Mytilus edulis: one gene and its partners. The protein of the gene in region 3 purifies or fractionates together with the protein of the main gene of each other region. This does not show direct contact. Links are inferred from orthologs where the notes say so. Each region holds a gene or a part of one and is shown on either strand. Other genes may lie near its edges. The genes, in order: TIP41-like protein, mitogen-activated protein kinase kinase kinase 7-like and serine/threonine-protein phosphatase 6 catalytic subunit.

The links.
Region 1: the proteins of serine/threonine-protein phosphatase 6 catalytic subunit (region 3) and TIP41-like protein purify together in Homo sapiens (co-immunoprecipitation; 4 studies listed by BioGRID and IntAct, with this or other methods). This does not show direct contact. The link is inferred for Mytilus edulis from reciprocal best matches to the Homo sapiens genes PPP6C and TIPRL.
Region 2: the proteins of serine/threonine-protein phosphatase 6 catalytic subunit (region 3) and mitogen-activated protein kinase kinase kinase 7-like purify together in Homo sapiens (affinity purification with western blotting; 3 studies listed by BioGRID and IntAct, with this or other methods). This does not show direct contact. The link is inferred for Mytilus edulis from reciprocal best matches to the Homo sapiens genes PPP6C and MAP3K7.

What each region holds. Positions count from the first base shown.
Region 1 is NC_092353.1:75,586,177-75,594,524, reverse strand, and holds the start of TIP41-like protein, read left to right. Parts: upstream 1-4,921; 5' UTR 4,922-4,929; coding exon 4,930-4,979; intron 4,980-5,616; coding exon 5,617-5,742; intron 5,743-6,917; coding exon 6,918-7,097; intron 7,098-8,348. UniProt on the Homo sapiens protein: May be a allosteric regulator of serine/threonine-protein phosphatase 2A (PP2A). Isoform 1 inhibits catalytic activity of the PP2A(D) core complex in vitro. The PP2A(C):TIPRL complex does not show phosphatase activity.
Region 2 is NC_092353.1:40,923,079-40,931,274, forward strand, and holds the start of mitogen-activated protein kinase kinase kinase 7-like, read left to right. Parts: upstream 1-4,373; 5' UTR 4,374-4,513; coding exon 4,514-4,567; intron 4,568-6,133; coding exon 6,134-6,316; intron 6,317-7,195; coding exon 7,196-7,241; intron 7,242-8,006; coding exon 8,007-8,145; intron 8,146-8,196. UniProt on the Homo sapiens protein: Serine/threonine kinase which acts as an essential component of the MAP kinase signal transduction pathway. Plays an important role in the cascades of cellular responses evoked by changes in the environment.
Region 3 is NC_092345.1:11,366,911-11,375,623, reverse strand, and holds the start of serine/threonine-protein phosphatase 6 catalytic subunit, read right to left. Parts: upstream 3,538-8,713; 5' UTR 3,478-3,537; coding exon 3,409-3,477; intron 2,221-3,408; coding exon 2,125-2,220; intron 1,344-2,124; coding exon 1,278-1,343; intron 630-1,277; coding exon 562-629; intron 1-561.

The DNA of each region.
Region 1 (8,348 bases), on a different chromosome or scaffold from region 3:
AAATGACACAGACATTATAACAACTATAGGTCACCGTACGGCCTTCAACAATGAGCAAAGTCCATACCGAATAGTCGACTATAAAATTAAGGCCCCGATAAGATAATTTAAAACAATTCAAACGAGAAATCTAACGGCCTTACTTATATAAAGAAATGACGGACGAAAAACAAATATGTAACACATAACTGACAAACGACAACCACTGAATTACAGGCTCCTGACTTGGGACAGGCACATACATAAATAATGTGGCGGGGTTAAACATGTTAGCGGGATCCCAACCCTCCCCCTAACCTGGGACAGTGATATAACAGTACAACATAAGAACGAACTATAAACATCAGTTGTTATACTTGTTATACCATCAAACACATTATCAAGGCACTGTGAGAACTATCAATGTTGACCAAGTTTGTTTCCGCTAACTCTGTTACAATTCTAGCGGGAATTTTGTATGTGCTTAATTAAAGTAAGTCATGCTGTAAACAATGCGTGGCAGTTTTAGACAGATAAAATCAGGACAAAGAATAAGTGGTCATCCAAAGTTCTCTTTTTTAAAGCTCAGTCTTTTGCCTTAAAAGGTGCTGTTTGACACTCAAAACCAATCGGCATTAATGCTTAAAACGTTAAGTAAAAAATAATGTACTCGGCTCTTATTGACATTTGATATGAATCGAATGCGCTCAGTCCCAATAAAAGGAGCACATTACTTCGAGCTGCCGTTTCCGTAAATCGGCCACAGTGCTCAACGTTGCGACACATGCATGAACATATATAATCAACGGAAATTAAAAATAGATGATTTTTTATTTCATATCCGTGGCACATTTCTTTGAAGAAGAAGACAAAACTAATGATCGTTCTCCAAGCTGAAGATCGAATTACATTTAAATATCATAACATTAAATCAAGTTGTATGTGCATCACCAAAATATGAACGAATTATAGAAGGTGTTGATAGGGTTTACAGAATAGAGAAAAAGGGTAAAACATAAAAGAAAAGAGAAAAATGGACCAAAACAAATAAGGAATAGAGACTCAGAATAATGAGGTGCTAAACTATAAAGAATAGATAATGATGGGCAAAACGTATTAAAAAATGGTATACAAAAGTAAATCACAAGTTACAAACACTGGCACAGCTTAATCTTATCAAGAATATATCTTGTTCAAATTGACAGTAATTTCGACTGAGATGAAAACTTTGTCTTATGAATATTGTAATTACAGTGAGTTGACTGTTAGTGTTGCTCTCCACCAATTGCAACTCATTCAAAATTTTGACCCAATTGCAATATGTTTTATTAAACCAAATTGTTCAACTGGTCAGAATATTGAACAAATTGTTCATTCAATATGTGATAGTGCAAAGAGATAAAATAAAATATACTTACAATCCTATAACTCCATGCACTTTAATGATGTTGCGACAAAATTTGTTTATCAGTTTGTAGAGTTATATTATAGTCATTTCCATGCTGAAGAGGAACTGTTTATTTTGAACTGCATGCTATAAAATTGTCCAAACTAAGCTTTCATGTAGTTTTTCTTTCTAAAAGTATTCTATATTTATAAGAATCAGATATCATTTTAAATAAAACATCATATATTCAGTAAAATATGTGTGAAATAACAATATGCTATTGATAAGTTTTCAGGGGAGATAACCTAAATATTATTCTTTTGAATAAAGCCTTTTTGAAAGAAAAGTTATTATCTCCCCCATGGAAACTTCCTACAAACATATATTGCAATTTTACACATATTTTACTGAATATGAAAATTTTTAATTCACATAATGTCTGATTCTTATAAATATAGAATACTTTTAGAAAGAAAAACTATATGAAAGCTTAGTTTGGACAATTTAATAGCAATTCAAAATAAAAAGTTCGGAACTTCCCCTTCAGCATGGAAATGACTTTAATATAACTCTACAAACTGATGTTCATATGATGAAATCATAATCTTTCAGTCAGTTTAATTGAAGTCTGGAGCTGGCATGTCAGTTAACTGCTAGTAGTCTGACTTTATTTATGTATTATTGTCATTTTGTTTATTTTCTTAAGTTACATCTTCTGACATCAGACTCGGACTTCTCTTGAACTGAATTTTAATGTGCGTATTGTTATGCGTTTACTTTTCTACATTGGTTAGAGGTATAGTGCGAGGTTGAGATCTCACAAACATGTTTAACCCCGCCGCATTTTTGCGCCTGTCCCAAGTCAGGAGCCTCTGGCCTTTGTTAGTCTTGTATTATTTTAATTTTAGTTTCTTGTGTACAATTTGGAAATTAGTATGGCGTTCATTATCACTGGACTAGTATATATTTGTTTAGGTGCCAGCTGAAGGACGCCTCCGGGTGCGGGAATTTCTCGCTACATTGAAGACCTGTTGGTGACCCTCTGCTGTTGTTTTTTATTTGGTCGGGTTGTTGTCTCTTTGACACATTCCCCATTTCCATTCTCAATTTTATGATAAACTAATTCTGTCACAACATCATTAAAGTGGAGTTAAAGTCTTATAGGATTGTAAGTATGTTTTATTTTATCACCTTGCACTTTCATGACTTGGCTGTGGTTTTCTACAGCAATTGGTTCAAATTTCTGACCAGTTGAACAATTTGATTTTATAAAACAAATTGCAATTTGGTCAAAATTTTGAATGAGTTGCAATTGGTGGAGAGCAACACTAACAGTCAACTCACTGTAATGACATTGTGGTTAATATAATGTAATGTTATGCGACTGTCATAAAAGTGAGAGGTTTAGCTAGCTGTAAATCCAGGTTTAATGCATACTTTTTTACATAAGGAAATGTCTGTACAAAGTCAGGAATATATGACAGTTGATTTCCATTCGTTAGATGTGTTTTGGGCTTTTTGGTTTTCCCATTTGATATGGGATTTTCCGTTTTGAATTTTCCTTGGAGTTCGGAATTATTTTTTTATTTGGCTTTTTCCAACCGTGAATTATTCAGGTTGACACTGGAAAGTGGCAGTATACATATGTATATGGAAAGCTAAGATGAATACAATTTGTTTGGGTTTTGCCGTTATTTACTTAAACCTAGTCCCCAATTAAAGAGAGGTGGAAGATATCAAAGACTGATATTCAAACTCATATATCGATGACAAACTGACAACTCCATGGCAAAAAAAAAGGATCAACAACAATCAAAATACAAACAACAGTATTCAAAATACACAGCAATACTAGAAAAGACTGGGCAACACGATCCCCACTCAAAATCATTGGTGATCTCAGTTACTGTAAGTATATACTGTAAAAAGACAAGAACAACTCTCCATCAAAGCCTAGTCACAATTTGTAAACAGTTAACTGTTATGGTCCAAGTATGGCCTTCAACACGAAGCTGTGGCTCACACCAAACAGCAAGCTATAAAGGGTCCCATCCCAAAATGACTAGTGTAAAACAATTCAAGAAGGAAAACCAGCAGTCTAATCTTTATAAAAAAAATACTTGTGAACCACAACAACAAACGACAACCAATGAACAACAGATTCCTGACTTAGGACAGGTGCAAACAAATGCAGCGGGTTTAAATGTTTTAATGGTACCAAAACTTCACCCTTATTTTAAACAATAGTGTAACATCACAACATAGAAAGACTCACTATAGAATATCAATTGAAATGGCTTAACGCAATCAAAAAGCATATTAACAAAAACAGTTACATGTGAACATACACTGAACGGACAATGTATAATACAAAATCAATAAAATAGAAAAATACTGGTCCAAATATTTTTGACTTCTAGGAAGGCTATTTTAAATCATTGCTTTGACGCCTTCCAGGGACGTGTCAAAGAAAATAATATAATAGGCTTTCAAGACGTCATAATTATTTGGACTAGAAAAATACCACACTCCCTCCTGCCCTTTGAAATTCATAATCATTCCCTAAGCATTTTCCCTCTGAACTTTTTATTATTTTTTACTTTAGACAAAAATTATATATATACATTCGTCCTGAACATGCATGAAATATTTGCAACTGGACTTTTAGCAACCAATAAACAATCAGTGAGGCCCCTCATGGGGGGGTCCTAGTAATCACATAATCACCATTTTTTTGCCAATATAATCACATAATCATTAAATATTTGCTTATCTTTAGTAATCAAATAATCATAAACTAAAAATACAGTCCTAGGTAATCAAATAATCATGAAATATTTGGCTTAATAATCAAATAATCTTTAAAAAAACGGCCAAGTAATCACATAATCAAAAACCCCATGAGGGCCCTCATCAGTTTTTTGGAAATAGTGTTGGTATCAAAGCTGGCATTTAAGGTAGCGCCTTCTTTATATTACATAATCAATAAAATAAGGGGTGAGATGTTAAACAAGAAAGATAACCATAATATTGGACTACATGCCACTAAATAAAATAACGTATACTCGTAAATAAAATTATATATTTTGTTGTAACTTGAGTCATGGAGTACTGACTTGAATATTTTTACAATTTAAGTCTTTTTTAATTTTGTAATCCGCTACAATTTAAACAAGGCATTCTGAATGAATCAATCTACAAAGTGAAAACACTTCCCAACTTTCATGATATTCCTTAAGCAAAGAGACGGCTAGTTTTTTTAGAAAAGCTACTACTTGTTTAAATTACAGGCAATTCGTTTTGCACATTATTCCGCAAAAGATGTCGCAAAACTCTTGTTAACTTTTTTTATTCCTTTATATCTAGTATTAATTGATATGAATATGAAATTTTAAAATTCTGATCGAATTAATATTATTAATCTGGTATACTACAGTGATGGAACTTAAACTTAAACAATAAAAACAAAACGACATTTACAGAAACCAGTTTATGGCAAACATGTAAAAAAAGTTATTTTTTTGATGATCAGGTACACACTGTCATACAATCTTGACAAATTCATGTCAAGAATCTTAAGTTTATTTAAACACTGCCATATTTTTTTGTCAAAGTGTGTTGGTGATATTGATAAAAATGAATATCAGCTTCTCTGGGTCGAAAGCTCAACCATATATATCACAAAAATGACAAGGTTTTAAAAAAAAAAAAAAAAAGACTTCTTTTTAAATTTTATAGCAATACACTTATTAAAGCATGATTGAAATTTTATTCAACACAAATCCTTTAAAAAAAGCTTTAAAAAAGGGTTTAAACCTACCCAGGGGTGTGAACCTGAAAGGTGGCGAACAAACATTTTATCACTATTTGGAATTTTGTCCTGCTGACCTGAGAATCTGTCCCGCTTGAACTTTTGACGTCATACAACAATCACTTTTCCATTGTGGCATCGGATATTTTCTATTATGACGTATAAAATTTACGGGAACTTTCATGACTTTATTGATATCCAGTAATGGCGGACAACTCGTGATAATGTGTATAGAACATGTGTAGAAACAGACGTGTCAGATTTGGGTCAAACAGACCCGGATTTCAGGCAAATAAATTTTAGCAGCAGCCTTGTGTTAGATCTTTTGTAGTGGTTTATGTGAAAGAAGATCTCCATTTTCCATAACATAAGATGAATATTTTGTTTTCTTATTTTGAAAAGCTAGGTTATAATTTTCTTAGATGCATATATTTTTCAGGATGATGGGAGGTGACAGTACTGCAGCTAAAGCTAGATCTGTTACAGAGAAATTCCAGTTTGGACCATGGCGTTGTACGTCTATAAAGTCACACATTCTGAAATCGGAAGGTCCAGATAGAGAGAGGTAATGTCTAATGATGAGAAGATGATTACAATTTACACAAACCTGCAGTACACACCAAAAAAGTTGAGCCATTCACTGTGAAAAGTTAACTCACCATAACATAGAATGTTTGAGCTGACATGACATTAAACAGCTCAATCAATCAGTGTGTAACAGGAGGAATGCTGCCAAATTTGGATTGATTATTGGTCTTCAACATCACTTTCTATCTTTGCCATTTTTTTTATTAGTGAGGAAGTCAGAGTACCCGAAGAGAACTACCAGACTTTGTCAGGAAAACTGACTATCCTAGTCAATTAAGATTGAAGACCAATGCATATTGTCATGAGCCTTAAAAGCTGAAAAAATTGTTATATTACACTCATATTGATTTTCCTGAGGTTGATATACTGTATTATTGGAAATTCAACTCGCAAACAAAAAAAACTACAAAAGTAATAGCAATTAGAAATTCACTTTTTAACATTTTGTACCTTAAAACAGTTGGAAGGAATTTTGTAAAATGAGCAACAAACAGATACCAACTGCTATCTATTTTATATTTTATTATTAAAATTAAGTAGACCAGGATACATGTATAAGTTAACAATAGAAAGGTTCAGATCAACACAATTTGATCAAGAGTTACTGCCCTTTAGTTGCCATGGTGGAGGACTAAGTCCTTCATAAATCAGCCAAATTCAACATGTCATACCGACTGCTAGACTGTTAAACAATTTTGATTTATTTTGGCCTTTCTTGATTCATATAAGATCCATCTTTTGTCAGACCTGTTTGTACTGCATATTTCAATTTGGATATTAAGTCAAATATAAAAATCATCTATATTGACCCCTTCAAAATGGCAAGAAAATTAACTCTATAACAAATTACATCAATTGAAAGGTAAAGTAAAGACTGAAAAGCGGGAAAGGGGGTTAAAAACCATTCTGATCCCAATTTGAAAAAAAAAATTGTGGTCATGCAGATGACAAACCAATACTTTATAGTGTTAAATTTTGAACCAAAATGATTTAATGGATAGCTTTGAAAAATAAAAAAAAAAGGCAATTCTGACTCAGACAAAAAAATAATGAAGTTAAATGGTTGCTCCAGTCCCTAACTCTATTCAATGTGTTCAAACTAACTCATTTATAGATTTAAATTTTGGGTGAATATCTTTAATGTCATTTTAGATTCGAGAGTCAATTGGAACTTCCACAGGTTCCTGAGATGGTGTTTGCTGATAACTTACTACGTTTAGAACATTCAGCAGGATTTGGTTTGGAGTTCAATGCTCTTGATGCTCTTAGATTGGTGGACCCTCGAAACGATTTACTCAAAGTGGCTGTATCTGATGCTTGGAGACAGGCTAGGTTTGTTATTGTTAAGTTTGTCTCTGCTTTGAGAGAAAAGTGGTTACTAGATCATCTTCATTTACAGGTTAACTGACCAATCACAGTTTCAATCAAAAAAACAAAACAAAACACAGAATTATCTGAAAAATAAAGATGAATGGCATAACAAGTTTGGTAAAGTTATACATTTGTTATAATCAAAGGTGATCATGTAATGTGAGATTTGATTGCTATGAGAAATGTCTGATTCAAAAGAGTTTTGGCAACTAATAATATTTTGTCCAGCAAATAAAGAATGCATTGGGTCATGGCATATTCTTGGGAATAAATTAGGTGTTTTTTTTTTCTTTCAAATTGCACTTATTTTAATATTGCTTCCATAATAGCTCTTACATGACCCAGTATCAAAAGGCCCAATTACAGAGTAGCTAACATATATGAAATTGTATATGTCGTGTACAAGTTGCAATTTTGTACAGGTTATAACATGTACAAAAATATTGTACATGTTATAATTTGTACAATGCTAAAATACAAGTTATAACATGCACAAAATGACCCCGTACATGTTATAACATGTACAAAATATAGCTTAAAAATGGTTTTAACCTGTACAAAACTTTAAAAATAATAATAAAGCAGAATATACATGCATTATTGAAATTTATTAAATAATAAAGAACAATAATCAAAAGCAAAAGAAGGTGCATTATTTACAGCATGCATAAAATACTACATTTTCATGCATTTTAGAAACATTAAATTTTTTACTTGTTGTTAAAAGACAGACACATGTGACACCTTGAGTTGCTCAAAACATTCATTCTTCTACAATTACACCTACCATAATTACAACTGCCTTTCTTACACTGATAATGCACAAAAACTTGCCCTCCTCTCAATAATAACTTGTGCACTATCTCTCTCACACTCATATCACTCATTGGGACTTCAGACACATTTAAAGTTGCATTTGCCAAAAAATGGACCTAGCTTCTCTTTATTTGTCCAACTTAAGTTCCAAATTTATAGCCGCCATATTCATTCACTTTAATCACCACGCCTTCAATGTTTCTCTCATCTACCGTATACAGGGCCCCTATACATTGTAAATGGACGGAATATAACGTTATCACTTTGGGAGAGCACAGTTATTCTAGTTTTTGAGTTTTTTTATAAGACACCAGCTTGTACCTGCTGTCCAGAAAGGGACCTCTTTCGTGCACGCTTGATGTCAATATTTGATATTTCAGATAAACCTTCACTAAT
Region 2 (8,196 bases), on a different chromosome or scaffold from region 3:
CGGTGTTGGTCGCTGTAACTGTTGTTGGTAGGTTGTTCCAGTCCCTGATTGTCCTCGGAAAGAAAGATTGGCCGTAAGTGTCTGTACTTGTTCTTTCTTGGAAGAAGCGGTTTTTACCTCTGGTCCGGTTATCATTCGGTGTCAAATATTGGTGACGGTCGATATTTATAAAATTATGCTGGATCTTAAATAGCATTCATAATCTATTTGTTTTCCTCCGTTCTTCTAGACTTTCCCATTTCAGATTTTTAACCATATTTGTGACACAGCCAGGTGTTCGGTCTGTGTAGTTGTTATTCACAAATCGTGCAGCTCTTTTCTGGACCTGTTCAATTGCCTTGATTTTATTTTGGGCGGTTGGGTCCCATATTGTGCTTGCGTATTCCACTGCAGGTCTTACCATGGATACATACTCAGCTGCCTTTACAGGTTTTGTACAGCCTTTGAGGTTTCTACGTATAAATCCCAACGTTCTGTTTCCTTTGCCTACTGTATTGTCTATGTGTTTATCCCATGTTAGGTTGTTGCTGATAGTTACTCCAAGATATTTGCTTGCTTCCTCTGTGTCTAGAGTATGACCGTGTAGCTGGTACGATGTTTGTATCACTGGTCTATTTTTTGGGGATATTCTGATGACAAGGCATTTTTTTTGGCATTAAAACTCATCTGCCATTTGTTTTCCCAGTCTTCCAATGCTGTTAAGTCCTTTTGAAGTAGTTCACTGTCAGCTTGGTTGGTGATGGTACGAAAGAGTAGGCTGTCATCCGCGAACAATTTGGTCTCTGATGTAGATGCTGTTTCTGGCATGTCGTTTATGTAGGCCAGGAACAGTAATGGACCAAGGACTGTGCCTTGGGGTACACCAGAGAGTACTGGTACTTGTGAGGAGACAGCACCCTCTAATATCACGCTCTGCTTTCTGTTATGTAGGAAGGAGCGAATCCATTTATTGGTTTTGGGGTTGACGCCATAGTATTCCAGCTTGTGTAGGAGGCGGTGATGTGGTACCTTGTCAAATGCTTTTGCAAAGTCTAGCAGGATGATGTCTACTTGGCCGCTGCTTTTTAATTTTGATGCAATGTCGTTGATGGTTACGATTAGTTGGGATTCGCGTGATCGTCTTTTGCGGAACCCGTGTTATGCATCAGTTAGTATTTTATTTTTGTCAAAGTGGTCCATGATGTTGCTGTGTACAATATGTTCTAAGACCTTACACGTGATTGAATTTAGAGATACTGGTCTGTAGTTAGATGCTAGGTGCCTTTCGTCTTTTTTAAAAAGTGGAACTACATTGGCATCTCTCCAATCTTGCGGGACTTCACCAGTGTTCAATGATGTTTGGTATAGGTCTGTGAGTATCGGAGCAAGTTGTTCTGCTGCTGCTTTCAGTATAAAGGCTGGTATTGAGTCGAGACCAGTAGCTTTATGCGGTTTCAGGTTTTTTAACAATTTGTGGACTCCGTTGGTACTAATTTTTATGTCCTTCATGGTGTAGTATGGACTTTTTCCTTTATCTGGAAAGTTATTTAGGTTTTCTTTGGTAAATACTGACTGGAATTGATCGAGGCGGATCGAGCCACATTTAAAAGGGGGTTCCCAACCCAGGAGAAAGGGGGATTCCAACAATATGTACATATTCAATGCATTGATCGTCAGTAATATCTGGTGGAAAATGATCTACTTTATAATTTATAAGCTGGTTCCAGATCTGCTTATTCTACAGATACATGTCTTATTCATTTGTTAGATCATATTAAAAATGAAACTGCTAAGGGTTTTTATACTGGAATGATAATGTTAGATTTACAAAAAGCCTTTGACACTGTCGACCATCTTATATTGTGCAACAAACTACAAAAAATGTAATAAATGGTTTGAATCATATTTATGTAATAGACAACAAAAAGTTAGTATAAATGGTACTGAATCTGATTTAAGATATATTACATGTGGAGTACCACAAGGGAGTATTTAAGAATCACTTTTATTCCTATATTATAATCTATATGTTAATGACATGTCTATAAGTATTAGTAAAGACTGCAAAATTTTACTATATGCAAATGATAGTACCATACTATACTCTCATAAAAACCCAGAAGTTATATCTGAGAAACTTGGTAAGGAACTTGAATCTTGTAGCAAATGGCTGATTGATAATAAATTATCACTTCATTTGGGGAAAACAGAAACTATTCTGTTTGGGTCAAAACGTAAATTATCTAAAATCCGTAACTTTGATGTTACTTGTAAAAATCACACAATTTCCTCGCAATATTGTGTGAAATATTTAGGCCTTAATATAGATAATTCTCTTTCTGGAGAAATTTTTTTAAATACTATTATTCAAAAGATAAATTCAAGATTGAAGTTCCTATACAGACAGGCAAAATGTTTATTTGAACAATCAAGAAAGACTTTAGTTACAGCTTTAATTCAATGTCATTTTGACTATAGGCCTGTTCTGCATGGTATGCTGGTGTCAGCAAAAAATATAAAGATAAGTTACAAGTATTACAAAACAAATGTGTTAGATTTATAAAAAAAAAAAACCACTGGATATAGTTCAAAAGTTGACCATAATGTATTGAATAGTATTGGTTATGTTAATATTGAAAATCGTGTTAAACAATTGAGATTAAACCATCATACATAATATTTATTACCATCATTGTCCTAATTATATTATTCAAATTTTATACAACGGTGAGAAATTTACATCATCATTTCACACGAAATAGTGCAACAATAATACAATAATAATTTATTAACGTCTCACCATCAATAATACAGTATACACATTTCACATTATAAAAGTAAACCTTTTTAAAATTATTAATGCCATAGGAATATAACTTCTGGGTTCCTCCAGTTAAAGACACATTTTATTTTAATGGCATACAATTAAGATTGGAATATGTTGCCAATTAATGTTAAAAAAAATAAAGAAAATAAAGAAATTCAAAATTAGCGTCAAAGAGCACTTGGCCAAAAGTTATAGTGCGGCGTCATCAGACTCCTTTTTATATTGTTAATCATATTTTTATATAAATTATTTTTATAAGAATTTTTATGTCATATTGATTTCTGTGTTATCTTTTTTGTATGTCGAAACTATAAGCCGTTTCCATGAAGGGACCCCATTGGAAACAAGCTTTAGAGTTTTCATGGCCGTTATCCCTGATAAAATACAGTCAGCAAATTTTTCATACACTTAAGGATACTGCACTCAAAATAATGCCAATATATTTTACCATATATGTGTTAGTATTGTCTTTATGTATCGTATATATTGTGTATTGTAATCATCATCATCATCATCATCATCATCATCATCATCATCATCATCATCATCATCATCATCATCATCATCATCATCATCATCATCATCATCATCATCATCATCATCATCATCATCATCATCATCATCATCATCATCATCATCATCATCATCATCATCATCATCATCATCATCATCATCATCATCATCATCATCATCATCATCATCATCATCATCATCATCATCATCATCATCATCATCATCATCATCATCATCATCATCATCATCATCATCATCATCATCATTTTAATGATTATGATTATTATTATTATTATTATTATTATAGACAATACCATCCAGAAAATTCACTCAGATCAGTACTTCCACAGATGCCTACAATTACAGCTACAAACTACGCACCATCACTGACTGGAACAGCCTGATTCTTGAAACCTTCCAAGCTAGTCTCTGGAAAGCTTCAAGGAGCAACTTCGGAGACTGCAGCTGTAAACAGAAACCACCTGTTTTTATCGAATTTTAATTGCAATTGTAAATACTGAGCACGCAGGTTGACGTTTGCACAGCAGTATCTGCGTTATGGATGTCCACTGCAGATCAATAGTATAGATTTAGATGTAGATGTAGATGCAATGCGTGTCAAATTCTCTTCACTGCACCGTCCAAACGACGTTAACTTTTCAATTAGTTGATTATAATTTAATTCCAATTACATTTGAGAGAGTGTCCAAACTTAAGTTTAAATCGAATTAATGTTAATTAACCGTTGGCAAGGCCGAACTGACACCATGGCCGAAACGTCTATTTTCATGTACGCATATACTAGTAAGTAGTCATTAACTAACAAATATGCATGTGCTGATTTGTGTCACGCCATATCCTTTACGTTTCTTTTATAAAGACTTGTTTCGTTGACGTTTGACAAAATCTTTAATCCTGAAACACCAATATCACTTTAATTAACATGAACATGAACATGCGATTGTCGTATTCACAATCGCGCTTGTTCGGTAACTTCCGGATGATTCCGGAATTATGGTTTAGGTTGATATCGACTGCATAACATGAACACATCAGTGTAACATGATTTGCTCTAATTCCAAAACGAGTCTCCCAAGTTCCTCCACTTTCAGTTCGACCAAAATATGGGCAGGGATTTTTTAAAACCTATTTCATGGAAAAGACGAACGTAGATTTATGAGTATTTAACTTAAAATGGAACCCACTTTTGTGGAGGAGATAGACTTTCGAGAACTACAATTCTACGAGGTTATGCTTCTTGTATATTTGTTTATATATGTTAGTCTGTCAAACCCTGTCCATGTTTTGATTTTCATAATCATATTCTCCATTGTATTATTATAGCTTAGAGTAGACATAAAGTTATGAAAGATACGATTACATTATGTTTGTGCATTGTCAACCACTATGAGTAGTAATCAGGTGGACAAAAACCTTTTAGATTATATGATAATTCTACAGTACAGCTCTAAAAAATTGACAATTCGGCCGCTGCTTCAACTTCCAAATTCAAGATGTGTCCGCCAGTACAGCCAAACTGTCAGTTAGGCCGTAACATGTGTGTTTATTTTTTTTTAAAATGAGTACAAAAAGTTACTGTTTCATTAATCTTTGACATGTATGGTTAAACAGACACATTGCACTCATTTTCGTATCGATTCAAAATACAGCAATGTCATCAATTATCGATACTTTTAGATTTTACAAATTCCATTTATACTGATTTAAATCTGTCACCAAATCTCCTAAGGCAGCAACCATTTGATTTTCTGGGGGGGGGGGGGGGGGGCTACAGATTTTTTTTCTGGACAAACTTTCTTCTTCGCCTGTGGCGAAAAACTAAACAATATATTTTTCTCGCGACAAGTCGAAAACAATTTTTTCTTTCAATTTTAGCATTACATATAGTGGCAGCTAAGGGGGAAACTAAACATTTTTTTTCTCTCAGAATCAAAAACAAATTGTTTTTTTCTCCAAAAACTGGAAACAAACTTTTTTTTCCAAAAAAATCCATAGCCCCCCCCCCCCCCCCCCAGTTGCTGCCTAAGGCAGTATAGATTATTCAATATTTTATTATGTGGGCCGGATCGACTTTGGGCCGGATTAGTTTGGAGACAGAACGACCGGATACCCATTATCTAAAGAAATGAAATTTATAAATTTGTAAACCAATAAATTCAGCTGGTAGTTGCTAAATTTACCACTTGTCATGCTTGAGAAAGAGTTTTTGGCTTTCCTTCATGAATCATTATTATTCTTATCATCTAAAAATTCTTTATATTAAACTCTTTTTATATTTCTGTTAATGTTATGTCATAAATAAATTTGTGTTTCCATGATATTGATTGAATTTACTTGGTTTTGTGTGGTTTATTTTGTTACATTTGATCATGACATATATCATGTATATATATTTGTACATATGTAAATGTATCTTACTTTACTATAGCTTACATGTACATATGAAATATTGACCAAAAAACAAAATTGTTCTTGTGGGAAGATGGATCAAATTTTTAGTCCTCAACTTTTTTTCATTTATGCCAATAAATAACTTACTTTTTAAATTTTTAAATTTGAAAAAAATATTTGTACATGTACAACATATACTTATATATCATTTACACCAGAATGTCTAATCTCAAACAACTGTCCATTGTTTAAAAGTTGCAGTTTAAAAATTTAGTACAAAATCATTGAGTTTGATACATTGTACAATGAAGATGTAATGTTGGAAATATATACTGTATTGTTGTTGATAGATAGAATGACAATCATTTATTTAAAATAATATTGTTTTAATTTTTTTTGCAGGTTGTAGGGAAAGGAGCATTTGGAGTTGTCAGTAGAGCAAAATGGAGATCAAAAGATGTTGCAGTAAAACTAATAGAAACCGAATCCGAGAGGAAAGCTTTTATGACAGAGTTAAAGCAGCTGTCAAGAGTTAATCATCCTAACATAGTCAAACTGTATGGTGCTTGTACTAAACCACCAACAGTAAGTACATTGTATATGGTTTAAATATGATCATGATGATAATGCATGTTTGTGGTACACCTGATCGTGCTGATATTTACAGTCTGCACAGTTAGCCACTAGTCCGATGACCCAGACTGGTAAAATTTCATTCAGACTAGTAAGTTTTTGCAAAACTTTGTTTGGACTAATAAGAAAAATGTCAGAATATTGGTCTTCGAACTAGTAGTTGAAAAAGTTTTTGGTGCAGACTGTATTTAAAAGAAATATTTCCAAGTTGAAACTTTGAAAGAATAAAAAACTTCAAACTAAAAAAGTTAAAAAAGATGTGTTTGGTTGTAGACATAGGTAAGAGATGAAAATCTGAAAATATTTCGCATCAGATATAAAGTCATCTTTTTCACACATATTTTCTGCATGTATTTATTAATAAAGGGAAGCATGTATTATAAAAAATAAGATGCTGTGTGATTACCAATGATACAACTGTCCATCCAAGTCACAATGTATAAAAAAATTAACAATTATAGGTCAAAGTATGGCCTTCAACACAGTCACAGAGCCTTGGCTTAACTGGAACAGCAAACTATAAAAGGCCCCAAATGACTAGTGTAAATCAATTCAAACAGGCAACACCAAATCTCTAATCAATATAAAAGACTAGAAACAAGAAACACCTATGAACCACACCAATAAACAACAACCACTGAACAACAGGCTCCTGACTTAGAACAGGTGTTTAAAAAATACAGTAGGTTTAAACAGGCACCAACCTTCACCCTAACCTTAGACCATGGTGTTACATTACAACATAAACAGACAAAGAAAATATATTAATATATATATATATATATATTAGATATTTTATTATACATGTACAAAGATTGCATGTTATTTTAGGTATGTCTTGTAATGGAGTATGCTGAAGGTGGCTCACTGTATAATGGTAGGTACTATAAACAACAGAGGTGTGTCAATCTTATTGAAGTACAGATGCTGTGTCCACATTTTGCTTACAAGTTTCAGACAATGTACATGTTCTGTCTTACATTCTGTTTTGAAGACATTTCCAGATCCTCTGGTTTTGATGAAATGAAACACTTCTTAAAAATCTCCTGGACAGGCACTTTCAAGATGAGCTGCAAAATGTGTCTTGAGTTATCTTTTCTAAATGAAACAGCTGCTTCTTCAATAGAACAAAAAGAACATTTGATTTATTACATAATTGCTCGAAAAAGGTTATAAGTTTTAAAATGGAAAGTCAATTTCATTGTAAAATAAAAAAAGAAAAATGTCTAAGCTAACAAAAACTTGACGAAACCCAAAAAATAGAATTTAGCCTTGAAAAAACAGTGATAAAATCTGATTCTCCTGAACAGCTAGCGATTCTTGTTCAATCACAACCAATTGCAATGTTCAAAGAAAAATATGATTATTAATAATTGCTGATAATATAAACATGATAAAAATAAGATGTTGTATAATTTCCAATGCGACAATTCTCCACAAGAGTCAAAAGGGATCATAAATATAACCAAATGGTACAAAATGTAGATTTCTATTGTCGCATTGCATAATTTTAAGAAATTTTCTACTCCTCTGAATTTCTGAATTCATTGGAATAATTACAAAATAGTAATTTGTTTTGTTTATGTTAAATATTGTTTCCTTATTCGACCTGCTTTAAAACTAATATACTTGTATATTGTAGTGCTTCATGGTGCTGGTCCACAACCAATTTATAACACTGCCCATGCCATGAGCTGGTTGCTTCAATGTGCCATAGGTGTGGAGTATTTACATGGCATGAAGCCGAAAGCATTGATCCATAGAGATCTGAAACCTCCAAAGTAAGTATAGAAAAAGCGTACCTAAATAAAGAAGTTATATATGATAAAGAC
Region 3 (8,713 bases):
CTCTAGTCCTGGTGTGAGATTTTTTTATATTTGGAATCAAATTTGCAAATTTAACATAGTTGTGCTGATATTTAGAGTTATTGTCTAAACATTGAAATACGTTGACCTAGATCAAATATAAAACTTGAAAACCATCAAAAATTCAGTGACAATCTCTTACATACATATTTTCTTCAATATAAAAATCATCAACATATTTTCATAAAATCAAATAACTTTTTTATCTAATTTTTTCAGTCATCAACATCTAACATCTGGTTTCCATACAATTTCTCCCTTTATACATGTACAGAGATTTCTTTTTACCTTTCTTTATAATTATTACAATATTTACAACTATGAGTGTTTAGTTTTCAATTCCTATAAAACAGAAAGTAGATTTGCACACAACTTATCACTATCAAACTTCTGATTAAACATGAAGCCCTTCTGTTCAGAAGTACATGTATTAGTGAAAAATTTGTTAGACAAACAAATGTACAAGGTGAACGAGATATAAGACATATATTTTAAAAATAAGACTGACAACCTTTCAACAGTGTTCATACCAAGCAGACCTACCTTGCCTTTAATGTGAGCAGTAACGTAAAAGTTTCTAAACTGTAATATCCTCGGTCTACAAAATCACCCTAGAATGAAATCAAAGTTTCTGTTCACTGTTCATATTATATAAAACTCATTATATCATGTATATATATTTACATCATACAAAATATAAGAACTATAACAATTCTGCCAATGATAAGTGTCTGAAATATCTAACTATAAAGTCATTCAGTGCAGTTATATTTGAGGACCAATTATTTTTAAAGTTCATATTTCAAGGTATTGAAAAATTCAATGAATCAGTTAATCTGAAGAATAAAAAACAAATGATTACATTTTAAAACTCATCACTGTCAAGTTGCTGATTAAATATGAAATTATTGTGTGTTGTTGGAGGAATGGACAGACAAGGTAAATGCAATATCGACCCCACATCTAGAGTGGAGGAATGGACAGACAAGGTAAATGCAATATCGACCCCACATCTAGAGTGGAGGTATAAAATACATGTACTAATATTTCTTTAAAATTTTTATTAAAAACTTTTTCAAAATGGGATAGAAAAGAACAAAATATATATATGGTGCATTCATTCATGACAAACAATCGGTATGGGATCCCATTCCACATGTTCATGCTTACATATTTAGCAAGTAATTCATTTTTTTTAAATACAGAATCTCAATAATCAATAGATCTATAATGCTATGTTACGTAGTCTGGTGACTTACCATAAAAATATAATTAGTGTCAGGTGCTTGGCCTCCTGTTTTGAACAATTCTATCAGGTCATAAAACTGAAGGAAAATTAAAAAATAATTTTAAATTTTGCACTGTGTAAATATTATTTGATGTTTAGGCATTTGCATATGTTCAAAGCTATCAAAGTTTCTGAAGTTTCTTAAGACATGATCTACGGTAACTAAAGTAGAGATCTTTTGTTCTTGTTTCACATTCATGACATTGTTTCACAACTACTCATTTTTGTGAAAAACTTGTTGCAAGTTCCTACGGTTATGTCTTATTAATTTATTCTTTCATAATTTCTAAGATAAAAATTTCCTTGGTTGACATAATTTATCAAAGTAGAATGGTGCATTTCAGAGTTTTGTAAGTGATACAATACATGGTAAAACTTCTGTGAGTATGTTGAAATGGACTGAACAATATACAAAAACAAAGTAAAATACTTACCTGGCCTGGAATCTCAGCACACAAAGACATGTAATGATAAAGGCCTAAACATTGATCATTTAACATGTAATATGTAGTAGCTATATATATAGGTGTTACCTAATTGCCTTTTATTGGCCATCCATATACATGGTACATGTATATTAATCTTCTATTTTGAGATAAAAAAAAGTTTAATTTCTAATAATCATAGGTAGGACATATAGGGCATCTTTTTCAGAAAGTGTTCACTTTAGTCAGGACAGATTAATCAAGAAAGTTTTTGAACATGTCTAGTTCAATCAATCACAATTTTGGGTGTGCATTAATTCATCAACTTATAGAAGAAGTTTTCCTCTACTTCATAACACTTCTATAATTGAGGGATCTATGATAAATATTTACCTGTCCATGAATGTCACCACACACAGTGACAGGGGATGACACAGGCTGTACATTGGATTCTTCAAGCAATAACTCACATACCATGTCACATAATCGCTGAAAAAGTATTTATAAAAAGTCAATATATAAATCAAATAATTTTTTTATTACATGACATAGTTCAGTAGTTCAGTGGACATCACAAAAGTTCCAATAAAATTTTAAAGACATAATAGAAAATATCTGATACCTAACCACAATAAAAAAAAGTGATTGTTGTATGCTGTCAACAGTTCAACTTCAAGCGAAGCGGGACAGATTTCTAAATAGTGATAAGCATGATAAGGTGTATTAGATTATTTCTGTAAACAAAAGCATATTACAATAATTACATTAGATGTATGTTTCATTACAATACGTTATTCTGCTATTTGGCTAACTGCACATCATGTGTTATTCCTTAAGCAGTTGTGTCACTCAATAAAACTTCTCATCCATGATGACACGAGGTCCCACAATAAAGTGCACAGGTAAATGAAATAAAAACTTGATAAAAGGCGTGTTTTCATGATCCTATAGGTAAAAATGTGATTATAAGTATTGAATGCTTTTTTTTGTAACTTTATAGGGTTGTAAAAGCGTTGACCGTGCGCACATTTTAAGTATGAAATGCTTCCGCGCTTCATACAAAATGTACTTCGGTCAACGCTTTTACACCCCAATAAATTTACATACAAGAATGTGTCCTCAGTACACGAATGCCCCACTCGCACTATCATTTTCTATGTTCAGTGGACCGTGAAATTGGGGTAAAATCTCTAATTTGGCATTAAAATTAGAAAGATCATATCATAGGGAACATGTGTACCAAGTTTGAAGTCGATTGGACTTCAACTTCATCAAAAACTACCTCGACCAAAAACTTTAACCTGAAGCGGGACAGACGGACGGACGAACAAACAGACGGACGGACGAATAGACAGACAGACAGACGGACGGACGCACAGACCAGAAAACATAATGCCCCTCTACTATCGTAGGTGGGGCATAAAAAGAGCATTCAATTCTTAAATATTACTCTAAATATATGAGTATATGGCTAGAGCTAATCTGTCAGTTATGTGATGAAAGTAAGTATGAAAAACCGACTGTAAAAACGATTAAAAAATAAAATAATATCAACTTCACAACAGAAACTGAGAAAGAATTCTAAAAATAACTCTGACGATTCATGTCTTGGGTTCTTTTTTCCCCATTTTAACATTAAGCATCGTTTGACATTGTTAAAATTCTCAAGCTTCATACTTTGAGGTCATTCTCTGGCAAGTAATTGCAATCTTTTGCTATTTCAATCCACTTTTCAATGTCAGACATTTTGTCGTTTTCCCTGTTTCTGGTACCCGATGAGGATATTTTTAAACCAGTCAGAATTTCTATTTTAAAGTGTATATTTCTTGTTCATTCTTTTCGTTAAGAAAAATTACTTTGACCTATTTTCTGATCATTTGAAATCTTTAAAATATCAATAAGTATTACTTTATTTCATTTTCAAGTTTATTTTATAATTACATTTTTCTTTTCTTCTCGAATATTGCACCCATTTTCTCATATAAATGAACACGTTAAAATAAATAAAAGATTACGGTGCGTTTTAATATCTGGCTTCGATAACCCATGGGGAAGGATAAACGAATAAATGTTTGGTTATAATTTTAAAAGAGGCTAGTTACAGCTTAAATTTAAATAATACTGTGTTTCTATGCAATACATGTATATGCAGTTGAAAAACAGAAGATTCATATCCACAGAGGATGATGCAATGAATTCTGATTAAATTGCAGCTATAATGATTTGCCTATACATGTATTATTTTATATCTAAAAATCACAGGCAATTGTTTCTGTCAATATGGGGTTTACTATCCATACCCGTACGAAAAATTACGTACGGGTATGGATAGTAAACCCCATATTGACAGAAACAAGTGCCTATGCTAAAAATTGTATCTATAATACTAAAATTACGAGGTCCATTTTGTCAGCCGTCATCGGGTAAAAACGACAAATCAAAGAATTCAACTCTATATAGAACTAATATAGGACAATGGTGTAGATTAAAAATTACACCACTCCAGACCCTTTTGTTTTCCACATAATTAATATTGCCAAAAATTAACAAGTTCCGGGTCGAATCCGATACCGATACCAATAGTATATTCACCTGTTAGCTATTACCTTATCTGTACGTTCCGCATTTGACAGGCGCACCAACAAACGGTGTATTTAGGATTTTGCTATATACACGGGTCAACAGCATTCAATTTGTCCTATATTAGTTATCTTAGAAAGTCTTGCTGATTGCTGAATAAAACTACAATAGGGAACAATTTGACAATGATAGAATTTAGTAGTGTCAGCCCTTTGATTATGACCCGTGTATATAGCAAAATCCTAAATACACCGTTTGGTGGTGCGCCTGTCAAATGCGGAACGTACAGATAAGGTAATAGCTAACAGGTGAATATACTATTGGTATCGGTATCGGATTCGACCCGGAACTTGTTAATTATTGGCAATATTAGTTATGTGGAAAACAAAAGGGTCTGGAGTGGTGTAATTTTTAATCTATAGGAGGACAATGCTGTTGATTAAAAAATACTCCATTCCTGGATAGCCAGGACCTTTTGTTTTCCAAATAATTAATATTACCAATAATTGATAAGTTCCAGGTCGACGGGTTCAAACAGAAAGATTTGAAAGCAAAAAAAAAAACTGTGTATCTTATAATCGACATTACTTTATCAGATGACAATACCAATTACTAAAATAAGGTTAGGCATAGTTATATACTTTAAGTCAGTCACGGACCCGCGATATCACGGGTGTGTACTTGTGTTTTCAAATAATATAAATTAGTTATGAAAATAAAAAATCAGTCCCTTGTTTTAATGAAAATTAATTCATGCTTCAACGGTGGAATAATCTGTCTTCTTAGTCTACAAAAAAAGTAACCGATCCTAAACAGCCCCCCCCCCCCTTTAGAATATCAAATGGTCGTCCCCTAATGCATTTGCATCAGTTACTTTCCAAAAACGTTCACCATTGTCTATTGTTGTTGGATGTCTTTTATAACAACTGTTATTGCTTGGTAACAAGATGATAATTGATGAACAACAAATAGAAGTTTTTAACGACCTTGACTGGCTATACAGCCCTTGCACGGTCGGCCCTGGCTTGCGCCTTTTTGGGCATTAAATAATATATTTTTATCATGTGGTAATTGACATAATTTAGAATAATAGGTAAAATTTAATAAAAATTTATAGAGCAAAAATTTGAATAAATAAATGAATAAATAAATTGATGAATAAGTAAATAAAAAAAGAAAAGAATATAAAAATAAATATAATAAAATAATATAAAAATAAATATAATAAAATAATATAAAAATAAATATAATAAAATAATATAAAAATAATTTTGTTTAAATAAAACATTAAATAATTTTGTTTAAATAAAACATTAAATAATTTTGTTTAAATAAAACATTAAATAATTTTGTTTAAATAAAACATTAAATAATTTTGTTTAAATAAAACATTAAATAATTTTGTTTAAATAAAACATTAAATAATTTTGTTTAAATAAAACATTAAATAAATAAATAAATAATTAGTAAAAACGTCTTTTTAACGATCTTTTCATTAGTACGTACTGTTTTTGTGGTTAAAATTGAATTATTACTGCCGGTTACGGCCTGACTCCATTTTTTAAATCATATGATTCTATTTATATAGCAGATAATCACGAAGTATAAATATGCCTTTTATCATGACACGACTGCGGCCGTTTTTAAGAACTCCCAAGAATAATTAACGTAACTGATCATGAGTTCAGATGAATTGCACTTGATTGTTTCATTTCACGGTAGGACAGTGATGCTATATCGTGCATAAAACTTTTCAAATATAAATAGTTCAAATATAATATCGTTTATACATGTGTGCTTTATTTTACCCTTTTCGTACGTAAAGGGTTGAAGATGAACAACATTTTATAACTAGTTGTCCAGCACACAAAGATGATAGGGAGATATTTTTCAAGGAGATAAACAGTATTTGTCCTTATTTTTCACATCTCTCAAATGAGGCAAAATTTGTTTGGTTATTTACTTATATGAAAATTTGTCTATACTTAAATATTTAAGGAACATATATATTACTAGGCTACATGTCTAGATGTTAGACGAAATGTAAATTACTGCATGTAATAATAATGTGATGCTTATTGTAATAATTTTATGGTTCTGGTCCTGTCTGGAATTAATGTATGTGATTTTTATAGAATGGAGATAATAATTAACATCTATCTGAACTTTTGAATTTTTCATTTCAATACTATCTGTAAAAAATCATGATGTATTGTTTTATGTGTACAAAAAAGTCATGTCATGCATGGGCCCTTGATTGGAATAACAAATATTCGTATTCTTATTCTTAATATTCTTTTTCTTATTCTACACCGTACGACGAAATATTAGCACATTGATGACTATTCGTCGGCGCATCGCAAACAGACACTTATTAATTTAGATAAAGGCAACAGAAGTATACCGCTGTTCAAAACTCATAAATCCATAGAAAAAAACAAATCCGGGTTACAAACTAACTGAGGGAAACACATTACTTATAACAGGAAAACAACGACACAACATTAAAATGTAGCACACAAAGAAACGAGCTATAAGCATTAGACAAAATCCGATGAGAATAACAAATACAACATATATATATAACATCAAAACTAAATACATGAATTTGGGATAGAAAAGAACCGTGACACGTCTTATAATAATGTGAATTCACACTCAAATAGAAAAGTACCATGAAACGTCTAAAGTTAACAATTTTATGAGTGCAATGATCAATAAAAAAATTGTGCAAAAATAAAAACAAATATACACATTTACATATATTTACATATACTGACTTTGAATTCGTATTTTAAACAAACACTGTTTGGCAAACTGATTATTGGTACATTTATAAAACAAGAAAATGTTATAAATAGAATGCCATTTATTACAAATTAATAGAATATTAGCATATACAAAAAAAAGATATATATATATTATACTTAACATGAAAATTTACATTTACATATAAAAATTTAGCCAAAATGTCAAATTGCCATTAGCCAAAATGTAGCATATTTTTAGACCAGATTATTACACCAATTACCCCAAACTTCTTGAACTTGCAAAAAAAGTTTTATATATTACAAAGAAAAATTGATTCAAAATCGATTAACATTTCCTGGAATTTTGTATATGGATTCCTGAATTCAATATGAAATTTATGAATAATATAATTACAGATAATAAAGCATGATAATATCAACACATTCATGTGAAATGTTTTATTTATAGATATGTATACTAGTAAACATACAGCAACAAGGAAATTAAATACAGGTTCTTAACACCGGAACTGTGTAGTCAGCCACTATTTACTCAGACTTTAATTGTTTTTATTCACGAAAATGGGTAAGTTCTGACTTTCTATCATCAGAGATTTCCACATTGTATGAATAAACTAATGTTTAACCTGTAACTATATGGTAAACGAAATTCGTATTGTTGAAAGTAGAATTTTTTTGTCGAGTAAAAGTCGATATATTAAATATATTTATGTTAACACGTTAAATGACATTAATCTGAAGGTTTCACATATATCGTGATAAATTGTTTTCTTAATATCACCATGGGAAGATATGAGAACTGTAATAAATATAAGCACTACAAAATCGAGATAAAACTTTCGATGACCTCATTCCTATATGCAGGTAGAAACGAAAGTAACTTTGTTACTTCTTGTTAGTATTGGATCATTCGATAGAACTCTTCTAGAATATTCTGCGTACAGCAGCAAGTGTTTCACATGTTTTAGTTTCGATTAGACAATTACAAAATGTTATTACAACAAAAGAAGGGGAAAATATTGTCGTTTTGAATACACATTCTAGCTAGGCCAAGCACACAAGCGATCTTAGAAAGCGATACGATATAAATTGTCGTCAGGTTAGAGAATTTGACAGTTATTTAATTTACTCGTAAGTTTGATTTAATGTTTTGTTTCATCTTATTTTATTTCTTTTATGTGTATGTTGTTTTTTTTCCAGTTTGTCAGAAGTAATTCGTTTGATTTTTTTAAAGTCATATATAAATTCCGAAAGCACAGTCCTGAGCTGAATAAGGACATGCACTTCAATTGTTTGCTATACTGTTCTTTAATTTGTAACTTATTTAATGCGCAATACAACATGTGTTACAATATATTGTAGTAGTGTCCCTCTATTCTTATTTTCTACAAAGTTTTGTGTTGTCTCTGTATTTGTTTGTTTTGTTTGCAAGTCTAGGATTTTGGAGCAATCTTTCGTTGGTGCATGGTTGGTGTGTTCTATTGTACGTACTGCATGTTTAATATTTTTGGTGATTCCATTTATCTTCATTATGATTCAATGATAATCAATAAGATTACATATTTCTATAGAAATACTTTCTGGTATGTTTAAAATAATATTCACACAGTACATCAATCAAAATGAGAATA